2 linked regions of the Arabidopsis thaliana genome follow. The protein of the gene in region 2 interacts with the protein of the main gene of each other region in a pairwise test. Each region holds a gene or a part of one and is shown on either strand. Other genes may lie near its edges.

Region 1 (7,636 bases), on a different chromosome or scaffold from region 2:
AATATGCCATGCGTTCAAATCTATTTTCCAACATTATTTTGCGTTTTTGTTTAAAGGCTCAAAACAACGTAGTTTTAATAACCTATATATAAACATACGGTTTGCAAAATCTATACACGTCTAAGAGATATACTATAGGTGACTTTTGAGATCGCAGACCTGCATTTATTTAACTTACATGATTGAGTTACAAAAAAAATTACTTAGAGAATTTTTTGGCACAAAATCCAATTTTTATAACTAATTGAACCTTAAAATAATAATAAGTAAAAGCCGTTTTTTTTGTTAAAAGAAGGCTCAAAACGACGTAATTTTAATAATCATGTACAGATTTATATGATTTGCAAAATCTATACACGTGCAAGAGTTATATTGCGAACGACTTTTAATATCACAGTATTAATCTACGTTTGTTTGACATAAATAATTAAGTTGCAAAAAAATATTATTTGTGTTTTTTTTATGAAGCCCAATATTTTATTTAATTGGGCCTAACATAATAATAAGGGAAGCCCAATAATTTGTAGCAAATATTCTAGGGTTAGAATATTCTTCAACAGAATTAGGGTTACATGTGCGGACTCTATATAAATCTTTTTTGCCTCCTACGAATCACAAGTAATAAGAAAACAATGGAGCAAACTTTTATTATGATCAAGCCTGACGGCGTCCAGAGAGGACTCGTAAGCTTCCCTTTTCTCTTAATACATACTTGTTGATCTTGATCTGATTTTGGTTTTGTATTCAGTTCTTTGGATTGTTTATACTTAAAAGATCGATATGTTTGTGTTTTTTTCTTTCAGATCGGTGAAGTCATCTGCAGGTTTGAGAAGAAGGGTTTCACTTTGAAAGGTAATGATTTCGATTACCAAACTTGATTTTACATTATAATTAGAGGTCTTAGATCTAATTAAAGTCACTTTGTTACTTGAATTGAGATTGTAATGACACTATAGTTGCTTATGGTTTGGTCTAGTTTCTGAACACTAATAGTTTAGTAAAACTTGTTTGACTTGACAAGTATTCTGTGTTGTCTAATAGATTTTAGATTATAGTATCTGTGCATAAGAACTTGTTATTATCTGGACCTTTTGTATTATGTAATTTGGTAGATAAGAGTGTTAGTCTTGTGTTTCTGATCAGTGTAGATTTGTATTTTATACAGGTCTGAAGTTGATCAGTGTAGAGAGATCTTTTGCTGAGAAGCACTACGAAGACTTATCTTCAAAGTCTTTCTTCAGTGGACTCGTTGACTACATTGTATCCGGCCCTGTTGTTGCTATGATCTGGGAAGGAAAGAATGTTGTCTTGACCGGAAGAAAGATCATTGGAGCTACCAACCCAGCAGCTTCTGAGCCTGGAACTATCCGTGGGGACTTTGCTATTGACATTGGCAGGAACGTGATCCATGGTAGTGACTCTGTCGAGAGTGCAAGAAAGGAGATTGCTTTGTGGTTCCCTGATGGACCTGTCAACTGGCAGAGCAGCGTTCACCCTTGGGTCTATGAAACTTGATGATCTGTTGCTTTTTCAGTAGTGTGTTTTCGACATTGCTTGTCTTTTGAACAAGACTTCTATATTTAAGTTGAGTTTGATTATCCTTCTCTACTTTGCTTGCTTGCTACATATGAATACAACAGCTACCAACTGGTGATATAAAATATATCAGTTATTGCAGATACTGAACCAAAATTGACTCTTACCAATGGTTAGATCAAACCTATTTAGTAAACACAAGATCATACTTCTTGTAACCTTGTGTTTCATGAACACATAATGTTGTCAATCTCTTAGATGCTCTCGAAAACTGCGACGTTCGACAAAGTGGCAAGCTTAAGTTGTCTAGTAAGCCATTGTCCAAGTTTGAGGCTGACACCAACTTGAAGGGGGCATACTAGGAGAGAGTGATAAGAAAAGTTTTGAGTATTTGTCTACTGAATTTCAAGCTTACTGATGAACATTGGCAAGCTAAATTTAAATAACTAAATTTTACAATTTTGGTTCTTCAAACTTTAGAGAAGAAAAGAATCCAACGGTCAGGTTCAACTCCAACCCGTCTGTTTCAATCATCTATTTTGACCGCTTATTGTAGCTGCCTGTAACAGTTCAAACCCAGCCACTGTCAACAATCAAAGCCAAGTTTGTTTCCAAAGATGGACACAGCTAAGTAGTCTTTTTTGTCCTCTTCCAATTGTTGGTTCTAAGAAGTCGGTTAAGCGAGAACGCTTCTCCTTGACCATCGTTAAGCGACCGCAGTTCCAGACAGCAAGCTGTTAGTTGTCGGAGAAGTGTCTCTAGATGAGAATGCGATTGATTTTTGCCCTTTGGTTTTGTAGATAAAATCGCAGCATTCACTGTGTCTGCCACTACTTCCCTTTGAGTCTCTTCTAGGAAATACCCTACATTCGATTCTTCGGGGCGTTCGTACACTAGCAAAGCAAAGCAGTCCTGAAATAGATAACAAGATGCTCGAATCTCTTGTCTTTGAAACCACTAAATATTGAAAAAAATTCCAAAACACCACCACTAGTTTAAGGTTGCAGAACCATCATTACCTCTAAAATGTCTTGGAATGTAGTTAAACCAATGAATTTGGCTAATTCCATTCGTCCATATTTCACAGCCTCTTCTAGTGCTCCAATCTAAGTATGTCACATTTTAGTATTTATTTACTTAGAGAGAGGTCAGTCTAACCGCAGTGGATCTGATTAATATATAAGGAATGAAGAGCATACCCGTACTAATTCAATGAACTTTTGACAGTGAAGGAGGAAGCATACTTCTGATTTATCGTTCTGCAGATTATACAATTGAGGTAAGAGTTCATATTTTCAATGTAACAATATGAATCAACTGATATGATTAGTTCCTCAATCCACCTGTACAAGTTGGGGATAGCTATCTCGGAGTTTCGCAAGAGCAGCATCGATCTCACCCTTCCGTATAAGCTTTACCAACCGACGTATGGATCAGTTCAATACTTAACGAAAGAGATGTAGTAGTAGTAACGAGCAAGATAGCAGTCTAATTCAATACCTGTCTAAGAATTTTTCTCTCATGCAATGCATATGATGTATCATCAATACCATTTTCTTGAGCTCCATTGATAGGAGGAAGTGTACTGTTAGTAGCCAAGTCTAAAGCATGATGAGTCTCTTCATACCCATAATGAAGCAAATAGTTCTTTACAAGCCTGATGATCAAAAAAAACCAGAAGCTTCTTAGCTACGCAGAAATTTTATTACCAATGCAATAAAAGAATAGAAGAAAAAACTTCACCTCAGTAACTACAGAACAAGAGTGTACTCACCCAAGACTCATGTTCGATGGTATGGATATCTTTTCGATTGCTATTTGTTGCTTATTCCTCTCCGATGATTCATATCCCTAACACAACAGAAAAAAAGAGGAACAGCTAAATCATACGTAATCACTCCTGTAACCTTAACCTCAAACAAACCTAAGGCAGAAAGAGAAGCACAAGTAAACACATATTACTCTCTACCTCAACTTTCTACACATATTACACATACAATTCTTAATCGTAGAGTCTAAGAGAAGATGTTTAATCACTGTATTTTTTTACAGTGAATCATCTGCCACATTATATGTTTGTACCATATCAAAAAGATGCATATGTTTCTTTACTATACGATAGTTATACTTCGGACTATCCCATCGATAAATTACACAAGCTAAGAGCTAGAAACTCCACTAGTATACCAAAAATATTCAAGGATCTTACCTTAAAATCAAAGGCAAACTTCTCCTGCCCGAAGTTGACTGTAACCCTACCAAGATTCAGAACATCAAACAAAGAACATATTCAAGCACTTGAAAAATAGTTCACGCTGACATCATATTAAGAAACAAAGAGAGCATACTCTTCGTTTTGGCTATGTACAGCTACAGTAGGGAATAGAGGACCCTTGATGTACTTGGAGACTGTCCCTACCAGAGTTCCATTTACACTGGCATCTCATAACAAAGATATGTCAGAACTGTAACATGAAAATGAATTGACTCTTGAACTCTTAGATACTCACGTGAAAAAGAATTCCTGCGAATCATAGTTTATACCACCACCAACAGTATCACCAGTTGTATAAGTCGGACCAAAAGCTTCACCTTGACGTTTTCCTAGATATATAAGCCCATCTTCACCATGATAACCACAAGTGTTGAGTTCCCATCTAACCATTACATAAGAAATATCACAAAACTATCAATTTGAATGCTCAGCAACAATGATATAGAAACAAAATCCAACACTTTCGTATGTTCTGATCCTAACCAAACATAAATAAAACTCACACAATTGAACCAAATCCTGAACCTAATCAAACTTAAAACAACTAAACAAAAATAAGAGATCTTTAAGAACCTAATCAAATCTAAACAAAACTCAATATCATACCCAGGATGTCTCGCGATTCTGAAACTATTAGTAGTGAAACCAATGGAGACACGTCCTTTAACACCAGCATCTTTAACATAAATCTCGAAGTAATAAGCGAAACGTTTACACGGAGCAGGTTTATTAGCTTGAACAACGCCGACATCGTGACCGTGTTGAGAAACGCCAGTGTATTTGAGAGATAGCTTATCGGGAGAGATAACTACAAAACCGCTTAAACCGGTGATCGTGTTTAACTCCGTCGGTGATTCTTCTTCTTCTTCGTTATCTTCCATTGTATGTGGTTTTGCAGAGTGATGAAATTTGTGAATGAAGTTGGATTTGTTCATTCAAATCGCAGAGAAGATAATTGAAACCCTAGAATTTTGCTGATTGGTGATTGATTATAGAGAAACAAAATTGTTGAGCGAATATTTTTTATTTTTTTCAAATGATCTCTTACAAAACCATGTGATTTCGGTTCGGTTTTTATTTGAATTATTCGGTTTTTAAAAATTTGGTTTCTTAGTACTGGTATCCAAATTATGGATGGTTTAGTATGGTTTTATTTTGGTTCGGTATTGAATGTTTATCTACAATATCCTTAATTTTTAAAGAAATTTCGGTTTTAAACCATTTTTCTTTGTTTGATTTGATTTTGGATCGACTTTTCAAATCAAGTATCTCGATTCATTTACGGTCGGTTTATTGGCAACAACTTAACATTAAAAAAAGCTAAGAGTTCAAATGGTTACGCGGTTAGGACGGACAAATCTATCAACGGTTTAGACTGCTTTTTGTTTAGGAAAATTGCACAATCTATACTTGGAAGAGTTGTTATTTAAGTGTCCAAAAAAATCACTGTTTGACTAATATTGTACATGTGGAAATTGCGTATGTACCCCTAGGAAAATCTTTTTATACTGTATGAATATATTGTGTCAGATTATTATTATTCTTTGCATGTAGTCTTTTTTCTTTTTTGCTATTTATTTATTGATTTTTAGGGAAACCAGTCGTCATCGTCATTTCTCTTTCTAAATGGAAAGTTGTATCCCTTCTTTCCCTTATTAAAACACAGTCCAAAAGATAAAAGTTAATGTAACATTTGTATTAGGTGCTAACTCTAATTCATAACAAAAGTGAAACTATCTCAAATCACCATAAACTTATGATATTAGCCGGTAATCCAAGTATTAACATACCAGTTTGTATTAGGTGGTAACTTTGATGCAAAACTTATGAATTCAAATTTTTAATACCTCTAAGGGTATTATCACTATATGTAAACAGGTATTAGCCGTTAACAAAATGTTAACGTAACAGTTGTATTAGGTGCTAACTCTAATTCATAACAAAAGTGAAACTATCTGTAATCACAAGGAACTTATGATATTAGCCGATAACCCAAGTATTAACATATCAGTTTGTATAAGGTAGTAACTCTGATGCAAAACTTATGAGGGTATTATCACTATATGTAAACAAATATTAGCCGTTAACAAAAAGTTAACGTAACATTTATATTAGGTGCTAACTCTAATTCATAACAAAAGTGAAACCATCTGTTCAAACCCTCCTAGTCCAAAAACAGTCTCATCCTTCCATCTTGAACCGTCAAAAAAACTTTTCCTCGTCGCTTACTTACCGCCCTGCAACACATTAATTTTTTGATTAGCAGTCATTTTCCTTTTTTATCAGATAACATTTACTTTATCGACTCTACTTTCTTCATACACCATCAACAAATGTAATATGTAAACATTTTTTTACCCTGCTAATTCGTATATTATCATGATATTTTCAAAATTATCGATAATCCAAAGTTATCAGCGACATCTTCTTTCCTGTTTTCAAAACCATGGTAAAAGTTTTGTTATCGACTGTTTTTTTCAAAAAAATGATAAGGAGCTATATATATATATATATATATATATATAGGTACACACCTAAGACTTAAATGCTTTGTGTCTCTTTCTTATAGGTACAATATATCTCGCGGAAGAAGGCTACTGATTCTTTGTTTGTATAGGGGCAATTATGTCATATTTAATTTACAAGAAAATTTCCACCTAAATAACTAAATGATATGTGTAGATCCTTAATTATATATTCTTCCATGTATAGATATTTCATTCACCCTTTTGTTTATCATTCATAAACTATAATCCGCAGTAGTGCGAATTAAAAAAAAAAAAAGTTTGCGGTGTACTAACTACAGATAACTTTTACGTAGAATTTTTTTTATCCGCATGCGATTTATCGTCCGCTCTAAAAATAAAGTGGTTTTGTCTGTTAGCGATTTAGTGTGCTTTTTTCATTGCATCCATTGAAACCAAAATAGAATACAATAGACTAAGGCCTTGAATGTTTTGTAGATTTTGTAAGAGTTTTTAGATTTTGTTTTTCAAAAACTTATTTTTATACCAATCAAGATTATAAAATTTTGGTTTCCCTACAATTTAGAAAAACTATTTTGTTGTAGTTTTTGATTCATGATTTTAATTTTATAGTTTTCCTAAAACTTAGGGAATCTAGTTTTTACTCCATCAACGTTATTTTTCTCAAAAACTAAAAACCAATTTTTTGGGGTTTTTAAAACAAAAATATAATAACAAAAATCTAAAACTAAAATCTAAAATCTAGAAACTAAAATCTAAATCCAAAAACTGAATCGAAAATCAGCATCCATTCAGGGTCTAAACCAAAAATAAATCATCGAATCATAAATAATTTTTAGTTTTGATGGATTTTTGAGAAAAAAAATATTTAAAAATATTATTAATCTTGAATTTTACAAAAGAAACTTGAAGTCTAAAAATATTATTAATCTTGTAAGGACTGTCAAATGCTTTTAAAGTCTTAACAGTCCAATGTCAATCACCCCCTAAATAAATACTAGTGGTCATAGAAGTAGGAACCACTTTCCCCTATCTCCATTTTTGTATGAATCCATGATTCCATATTCACGTCCATGTTGTATACCCTATTTAAGTATAAAAATAAGAAGATAATCACATAATTTTTCTACCAAAAGACTATTGTTCTTATCAATTTCCATATCCTTGTTTTTCATTTTGTATCAGAACAAAAATTCGTACAATGACTACGAATAACAAGGACACACTTGATCAACTTAAAGTAAGCTTTGACGACGTCCAAGAGAAGCTCGTGAAGATGCATGTAGAAGTAGAAGTCAATGAGAAATTTGCTCACATTGAAGCCTCGCTAAAACAGTTC
Region 2 (8,307 bases):
TGTTTTGTGTCACTGGGCTGGGATCTTCTACAACATATTGCAAACATGTATCTGAATCGTAAAAATGATTGGAGCTTATCTTGCCACTGTCTTGGCTAGGTAGAGCTGTTTGCGGTGCCATATATGAGTATCCTTTTTCAATATCTGTTTGATAGGAGACTGCAGAGCTTGATGCACCAGACCACCAACGATTGGTTTCTCCAGAAAGATAAGCATCATCCCTGACACTAAATTCCCCTGGAACTGAACTGTAGACAACTTTCTCTGATTCAGCCTCTGGTTTAACCTTCACATGAACAGTTTTATTATCCTGAAAACTGCATGAATAATTATTAGGCCGGTCAAGGTCACTATCAGCTAAATGACTGTCAAAACTGTTGTAGGGTTTGACACAGGCAGGAGAAACTGAAGGATTACTTTCAAACTTGAAACTGATCCCTCTTGCACTAGAAAAATCAATAGGAGGTTTCCTTTCTAAAGATCCATTATCCACTCTTCCATGTCTATCAAAAATCATCCGGCTGGCACCATCCGACTGAGACTCACTTACTCCACTCTCAACATCATTTACAGCTTCTTCTTTATTAGGAAAGAACTCAAACGCGAAATTCTGAACAGAATTGGGGGTATGGTCTGACAAGGATGTACCACTTGTATTGTAGCAATCTTGTGCAGAAGAGACATAGTTATCCGCACTGTCACTGAGGGAATTGGAATTATTAAAAAAAACAGACATGGCAGACGAATTATGATTGGCTCCCAACCCCACTCCGTATCCAGTCACGTTGTCAAAATATGGAGTCAACATAGCTGCAATTTGATGTAACAAAAAATGAGGAATATGGAAATTAGCAACAGATAGATTAGTGTCAAACTTTTAAAAAAAAAAATAACCTGACATTTAGTAGATAAGGTGCATACATTTGGAATCGATTATCTTATCATCCTGCTTGGAAACAGTGTCAACGTCACAATTCACAGGATTGAAGGCCATCATATTGCCATCAGGATCAGAGAAACTAGACGATATACTACAACTAGTCATCTCAGATTGAGATACTCCACATGTTTCCACAGGCTGCTCACCCTGACTTAACGAAAACCAATCTTTAAGACTTGCAGAGCAAGTATGAGCAGGTGAAGGACTCAGCCCGGCTTCCATTTTCACATGTTCATCAAATGAACCTGGCACAACAAAAAAAATCCAAGCGATGTTAATACGATGTACCTCAAACAGCTCAATAAATACTAAATGACTATGTAACAAGGCACCCTTTCCAACAACTACTAACCATTTAGCAACTGTGAATCCTTGAGCTCGTCAGCAGATGAACCAACTGGTGATAAGTTTTCTTGGCTACCCTAAAAGTAGTCACTCTCAATGTTAGTTTCTTCTCTATCGAAAAAAATAGTCAATTAGAGATTAGTGTAGCTACAGAATTGTGAAATCACACATACATAAACTTTATAACAAAATACAAATCCAAACATCTTTGTAGCAGCATTCAAATAATGCAATGAAATTCAGCTAAATCAAAACGATGAAATTGAAGTTAGAGAAGCGTGTAATCAAAATTCTCAAGCTACCACAAAAGCCGAGAAAACTACCTCAGCAGAATCAGGCTTCTCATCTAGAATCCGATAAAGCGTTTCGATGTCAATAGTCTCGTCATCATCTTCAAACTCAAAACCACCATCACAATCATCAACCGGAAATTCACCTCCCAGACCAAACATTGAACCTTCCTCACCCATCAAAAATCACAAAAAAAAAAAAAAAAAACTAACCCGAGAAAGAACGAGAAGAGGAACAAACCCTAAATCAGAAAACCCAAAAGTCACGGAATTTCAGCTCCCGGGAAACCCAAATCGAAATTCAGAAGTAGACGCGTAGATCCAGAGATTGTAGAATTTTCAGGTACGACGAAGAAGAAGGCTTGAGAATTGGGTTTTGAAGGAATTTTCGAGGAAAGGTAGAGAGCAGTTGGGATAGAGAAAATAAAAATCGCGACTTTTTGTAGCGACGGTGGCTTCTTTTTATTGCCTTGTTCTCTCTTTTGGCTTTCTCCGAATTGGAAAAAGTAAACACCACAAGGCTATGGGACTTCCGGCTTTAAATAAGGAACGGTCGAACATTTGTTTTTCTTTTTCTTTCATTTTTTTCCATTTTTTCATTATTTAATAATGCATGATTATATATAATTATATTTTATGCGCCGTCATCTTTATTGTTAAAGCAAAATCACAATTTAAACAAAAGGAAACAACTTTAATTAGTAGTAGGAAACTGAAGTGTTTAAGTAATGGAGATTTTTTTGAAGTGTTTGCTAATCATAATTTATTGTAAAAATTATTTTTAATTGTGTGAAAATTAGATTTTCTACACTAACAAAAAAATTTCATATGTTAAAGAAAACAAATATGAAACTAAATCACAAAGATCAATTGGAATTAGACATGTGGATCGACTCATTAGAAAAATAATCATCTCAATCAATAAGAAGAGATAAAACATATATTTGACTAAATGATCTTACCAATCTTGTGGTCATAAAATTCTACAAAGCACTATATTGCTAATTTCTACAAAGCACATTTGTAATCTTCTGAATCATTTGTTAGCCCTAAAAGAAGACTAGTATTATACGAGATCACCATTTTTATGATTGATCAAATATCTTGTAGAGCGCAAAACTTTGTAGGTAGTTTGATGAGAAAGAGCTTGCTTATTATGTGATCAACAATTCCGTTCTTGCCATGTCTCAAAGTAGTTGCTTGCCATATTAATTGATATGAAGAGCCTTTGATTTTGCAGAGATAGGAATTGCCAAAAGAAACCATATGAGGATTGACTCGAGAAGTTTTAGTGTAACTTCTTCACTAAGTCCTTCCAAACCAGTTGGGAAAAATAATATTAAAGAATAAGTGGTCCATTGATTCTTAGTCGGTCAACTAGCTAGAAGACCTCAAATTCTGCAATCGATCCTTTGTCTTATTGTGGTTCCACACAAACAACCATGTGCAAAGAACAAAACATGTTTTGGGACTTTAGTTTGAAGATGCAATTAAACATATTGTTAGATTGTTGACCAAGAAAAAACATATTGTTGAGATTGAAAGATATATTTTGCATCGGACTGCAAAATGTTTATGTCACATATTTGTTACCTAATAGTTGATTTTAATAGAGTATAATAGAGTATCAGTTATTGGTTTTAAATTGTGTATCAAATTCCAAATAATATAGAGATTTTTAACATCAGTCTTATTTAATTATGATTTTAACCAAGTGTCGTTAGCTCAATTGGTAAAGACCTTATGCAAAGCTTAGAGGTCGCCGGTTCGAGTGACGCTTGGGACGAAACTAATATTTTATGCTGTGGTTTCAGGCCTGGGGGATTACGGACTTTGACCCACAACCTCCAAGATTTAAAAAAAAAAATAAAAAAAAATTATGATTTTAAATCGAAATTTTGTTCTTCAAAGGTAAAATAGTTTAAAAATCTTTGGGTATTAAAATCATTTGGAAATGAGTTACATAATACTATCCGGTATATAAAGAACCAAATCCAAAAACAAACCGGTTCCCTTAATAATTTAAACCGGATTATTCATCGACGGTTCGTCAACATCCTAATAATTTAAACCCGATCTCTTCTTCTCTATCGAAAACCTCCAACTTTTTTTTGTTTTATCAGATTGTAAATTTAGGGAAGAGACTTTCGCAAGCAATCTAGAAGCAAATCGATCGCCAAATCTCCGGATTATTTGCAAGAATCGTTCCCAGATAATCTTCCCCAGATTCTCCACTTCTCCAGGTACATCGTTATATTCAATTTTTGAGGAAAATAGTCGCACACTCTCTCTTTCTTAGAACTACCACTCCTGTGCTGTTTTGAGATTAAAGCTTGAATTTTGACTAAAGCCCTAAATTACTTTGTATCACTATCTGATCACAAAGTCAATTTCTTTTGGAAATAGCTCTGATCGGAGTGTTGCTCGAACAGGTATTAATTTCGTATTGAGTGGATTAGATTAGATTTCAAGATATGAGAGCCTCACTGGCGTTCTAATGTCACTGTTTCGTATTTTTATCAATCAGCTTGAAGAAGACGACGAAGATATGGTAATTTTGACTCCTCTTATGAGTCTGTTCTTTGTGTTATTTGATACAACTTGATGATGGGTTTTTGGAAAACTTTAATCTTTATGCACGTTGTGTGACCTAGTTTTAATCGTGGCTTGTCGCAGGCTACTTCGAAGAAAATGATCACACGTGAAGAATGGGAGAAGAAACTAAATGCTGTGAAGCTTAGGAAAGAAGATATGAATACTTTGGTGATGAATTTTCTTGTGACTGAAGGATATGTTGAAGCTGCTGAGAAATTCCAAAGGGAGTCTGGAACCAAACGTATCCTTTTTCTGATTCTGGTTTTGAGTTTTTGTTTATGGAATTGGTGTGTTTGATGTTTAGCTTATCTACTCCTTTTGAACTTCCTTATCGAGAAACAGCAGAGATAGATCTTGCGACCATTACTGATCGAATGGCTGTTAAAAAGGCTGTTCAAAACGGAAATGTCGAGGATGCGATTGAAAAAGTTAATGATTTGAATCCTGAGGTACAATGCTTCTTCATATCTTGTGTGGAGAGTAGTCATTCACTTTTCTGATGTAATAAAGAAGCAAAATCTGATTCTTCTTTGAACCCATGCTTGCAGATACTAGACACGAATCCGGAGCTCTTTTTTCATCTTCAGCAGCAAAGGTTGATAGAATTAATTCGACAAGGGAAGACAGAAGAGGCCTTAGAGTTTGCTCAGGAGGAACTTGCACCACGTGGCGAAGAAAACGTAAGTCTTTGTATTTCACTTTGATTTCTGTCGTTAAAGATGGTGTTTTCCATGTGTATTGCTCATTGACTGTGTGTAATATCTGTTGTTGCTGAAACTTCATTCATACAGTCTGTTATATCTCTCTGCAGCAAGCGTTTCTGGAAGAATTGGAAAAAACTGTAGCCCTACTTGTTTTTGACGATGCCTCTACCTGCCCGGTTAAAGAGCTTCTTGATCTTTCCCACCGTCTTAAGACAGCAAGTGAAGTAAATGCAGCGATTCTTACAAGCCAGAGCCACGAAAAAGGTAGCTTTTGAATTTTGATGTTATACTGGTTGTCTTTTAGTAGCCACAAAATACCATTATAATCTCGAGCATCATTCATTATCAATCTTAAGATTCAAAGTATATGCAACTCTTCTCTACATAACAAGTAAAATTTTTCATTCATTACTTCACCCACAACATGTATCATCCAAGTTCTTCTTGAAACTTTCCATTTTCCTCCATGGTTAATGTAGCAACTCAATGTTTGTGAACAAACAGATCCTAAACTTCCAAGCTTGTTGAAGATGTTGATTTGGGCTCAAACTCAACTGGACGAGAAAGCAGTGTATCCGCACATTAATGATTTGTCTACCGGTAAGCTCGAAGACCCGTCAGAATGATTCCGTACTTCTTTCAGCCATTGGAAATCAGTAGCAAAAAGGAACAATGAATGGTGCTCTCTTCTCTTCCCGTCAATCTCAATAACTTACAATTCATATGCTTTCTGCTTTTCCTTTTCTTCTGCATCGGGATTTGTTGGACCCGCAATCGTTAGGATATGGGGAGGGGAACATAAGCTTTTGTAGGCAATGAATTACTCTAGTCAAATGTTCTTATTATCAACATATTTGATGACTCATTGCATACGTGCATTTGATTTGAATGAAGTTATCGACTTTGTTTGGATCTTTGTGTTTGTTTTGAGGAATATTTTTGTTCCAAAAGGTTCGAATTGTAAACAAGAGAGATGGCTTATTCATCCCATGTATAGTTACATGAATCAATGAATCAACTTGGCACGGTTCCTACTTACCTAGAAAGCAACATGACCTATTGAATTGAGTGCTGTTACCGTCGAAATGGAGAATCTCTGCGAACCGTACTGAAACATCATTTGATTTTTCTTCTTCTTCGCAAAATATTATTTTGGTACTGACACAGCTTTGAATCTTGCATGACATGGTACGAAGTAAATAAAGGGAAGTAGTAATAGCAACTTTTTGATATATAAAATAGGAAACATAATCCACAAGACTCAAGACCTTATGTTGACTCTAGCCATCTCAATCTTGCATGATATGGTCTTCCGGATCATAGGATTTGGAGGGTTTGCTCTCCACCTCATCTTCGGATGCGGGTCGGCCCAAATTGCTTTGTCCGCAGTCAACATCTGCAAACTCCTCAGACACGAGCGGCACCTTTTCCTTGATGCTTCTAAGTTTGGCCTCTACCTTCTCAGCTTCATCAACTACATCTGACACATAATTAAGGATCCATCCGCAGTTCGCTGCACATACCCCTTCCTGCAACTCCTCGCGTAGCCCTTCCTGGAACAGACACGCCAGCTGCTCTTCCTCCAACTCTCTTCCGAGGTTCTTGACCTTCTTAAGGAACTCGTTATAATACTCACGCACTGTCTCTGTTCCTTGCTTCACCTCAAAGGCTTCCCAGCTCAAGGCAATGTTGACGTCAACCAGCTTAGACTCATCGAAGGCTCCGCGCTCAGAAGCTTCTCGGGGTGGCTGATCCTCCTCCCCAACTACCCCTGTGAGCTCAAAGTTTTTTGGTTCACCAGATGTCTTGATCGACCTGGTCTGCCTGCGGGTCAATAATTCATCGAGTTTTATACATTTAATAATTTGTTACAAAATATGAAAACAAGGATAGTTTTCAGTTAGAAAAACAATTTATTATCTTAGAAAATCATGACTATGCTAAATCTAATATATTTAAATAAAAAACTTTACATCAAAATTCTAACAAATTATCAAATATTATGGATTTGAGGGAGTATAAATTATCATTATAATTCAACAAAATTAAAACTGAATTTTGCGAAAACATAATTTATATGAAACTCGAGTATAAAAATGATGACTCGAAATGGATCAAATAGAATAAAGCAATCGTAATGTCGAATAGTGGAAAAGAGATTTATATCTTATTTTATTTTGTCTGAAAAAGATCTATCTTCACCTATTTTTATTGAACTTTAAATATTTTAAGCAAAAATAAAATTGATTCAATTTGATATAAAATGAGCAAAGACCTTTTGATCATGATCCTTTACAAGATTTTCATTTCATGCTTTATCATTACAGAAAAAAAAAATCTAACAAACTAATCTGAAAGCTAAAAGATTGAAAATAATATAGTTTCTTAATATATTTTATCAAAATCATTAATAGATATTGTGAAATAGATAATAGAAAATTGAGAATATCTAAGGAACTTACAAATTGATATTACTTCTTCCATTAGTCATTGTGGAGAATGAAGAAATAAAAAAAATGGGAAATGAAGCTCTTAAAGTGAGTCTAACCAAATGATGTACTTTTATTAACTCCCAAAATGGGATATCATTGATTTATGTTCTATAAATAAAAAATTAACCTGATTCATTTTTCTTATATAATAATTGATTAAGACATACGCTGGCAAAATTTTTTTTTTTTATGTCCGCTCGCAAATCAAAAAAATATGGAAATACAATAAATTTTAATTATAATAAATTAGCTTTTATTTTCTTTTCATAATTTCTAATAAATATCTCATATACCCAATTTACAGTATCGTATTTTGTATTAAATAAGTTTGAGTTAAAATTGAATCATTATGAAAATCTAATTAGAATATATATATATATATATATATATATATATATATATGTGTGTGTGTGTGTATGTATAGTACTGGTACATAATATTAATGTTTTGTAACAATTTCGGTTTCTAGTTTCTAAAATATGGTAAATTATCAAAATCGATTAATTATGATATTTTCACAATTATATTTTTCTAATATTGTAAATTTGTTCCCAAATTTTTTTTTTTTTAAAGTCCCAAAGATAGAAAGTTATTATTATAATTCCAAATTTAAAATAAATTTTAAATTTAATATGGAGATTGACTCTTGTAGTCTTTTGACTTGTTCATTAATATGTTCCCGAAATAGTTTTATATGGTATACAAAATTAAATAATTGTATAAAAGGTAAATCTAAATTTAAGTTACGTCAGATTTGATCTTTTATGTGATAGAGATGTGTTCCAAATAGTTCTTTTAATTGATTTGAACACTTTCTTTGGTACCAAAACAAGAAACATCATAGGGTTTGCGTACTCATTGGTATTAATGAAACTGACCCACACACATGTTTTTGGATCATCACTAATTTAACTGTCTCATAAGCTTTGTCACACACACAC

Evidence for each region. The genes of interacting proteins can lie anywhere in the genome.
Region 1: the proteins of AT1G61150 (region 2) and AT4G09340 interact in a two-hybrid assay, tested with the Arabidopsis thaliana proteins (one large-scale study listed by BioGRID).

What each region holds. Positions count from the first base shown.
Region 1 is NC_003075.7:5,922,852-5,930,487, forward strand, and holds AT4G09340 (SPla/RYanodine receptor (SPRY) domain-containing protein), read right to left. Parts: upstream 4,888-7,636; 5' UTR 4,747-4,887; coding exon 4,418-4,746; intron 4,194-4,417; coding exon 4,047-4,193; intron 3,972-4,046; coding exon 3,885-3,971; intron 3,792-3,884; coding exon 3,746-3,791; intron 3,388-3,745; coding exon 3,311-3,387; intron 3,194-3,310; coding exon 3,037-3,193; intron 2,949-3,036; coding exon 2,880-2,948; intron 2,796-2,879; coding exon 2,736-2,795; intron 2,643-2,735; coding exon 2,556-2,642; intron 2,449-2,555; coding exon 2,164-2,448; 3' UTR 1,751-2,163; downstream 1-1,750. Other genes in the region: NDPK1 (nucleoside diphosphate kinase), read left to right, coding at 633-683, 804-852, 1,166-1,515.
Region 2 is NC_003070.9:22,538,856-22,547,162, forward strand, and holds AT1G61150 (LisH and RanBPM domains containing protein), read left to right. Parts: upstream 1-3,641; 5' UTR 3,642-3,818; exon of another isoform or gene 3,819-4,007; 5' UTR 4,008-4,072; coding exon 4,073-4,126; intron 4,127-4,251; coding exon 4,252-4,411; exon of another isoform or gene 4,412-4,448; coding exon of another isoform or gene 4,449-4,512; coding exon 4,513-4,619; intron 4,620-4,718; coding exon 4,719-4,850; intron 4,851-4,981; coding exon 4,982-5,138; intron 5,139-5,378; coding exon 5,379-5,500; 3' UTR 5,501-6,163; coding exon of another isoform or gene 6,164-6,698; 3' UTR 6,699-6,806; downstream 6,807-8,307. Other genes in the region: EDA16 (SNF2 domain-containing protein / helicase domain-containing protein / zinc finger protein-like protein), read right to left, coding at 1-810, 922-1,185, 1,293-1,362, 1,609-1,755; AT1G61160 (retrotransposon gag), read right to left, coding at 6,164-6,698, 7,337-7,365.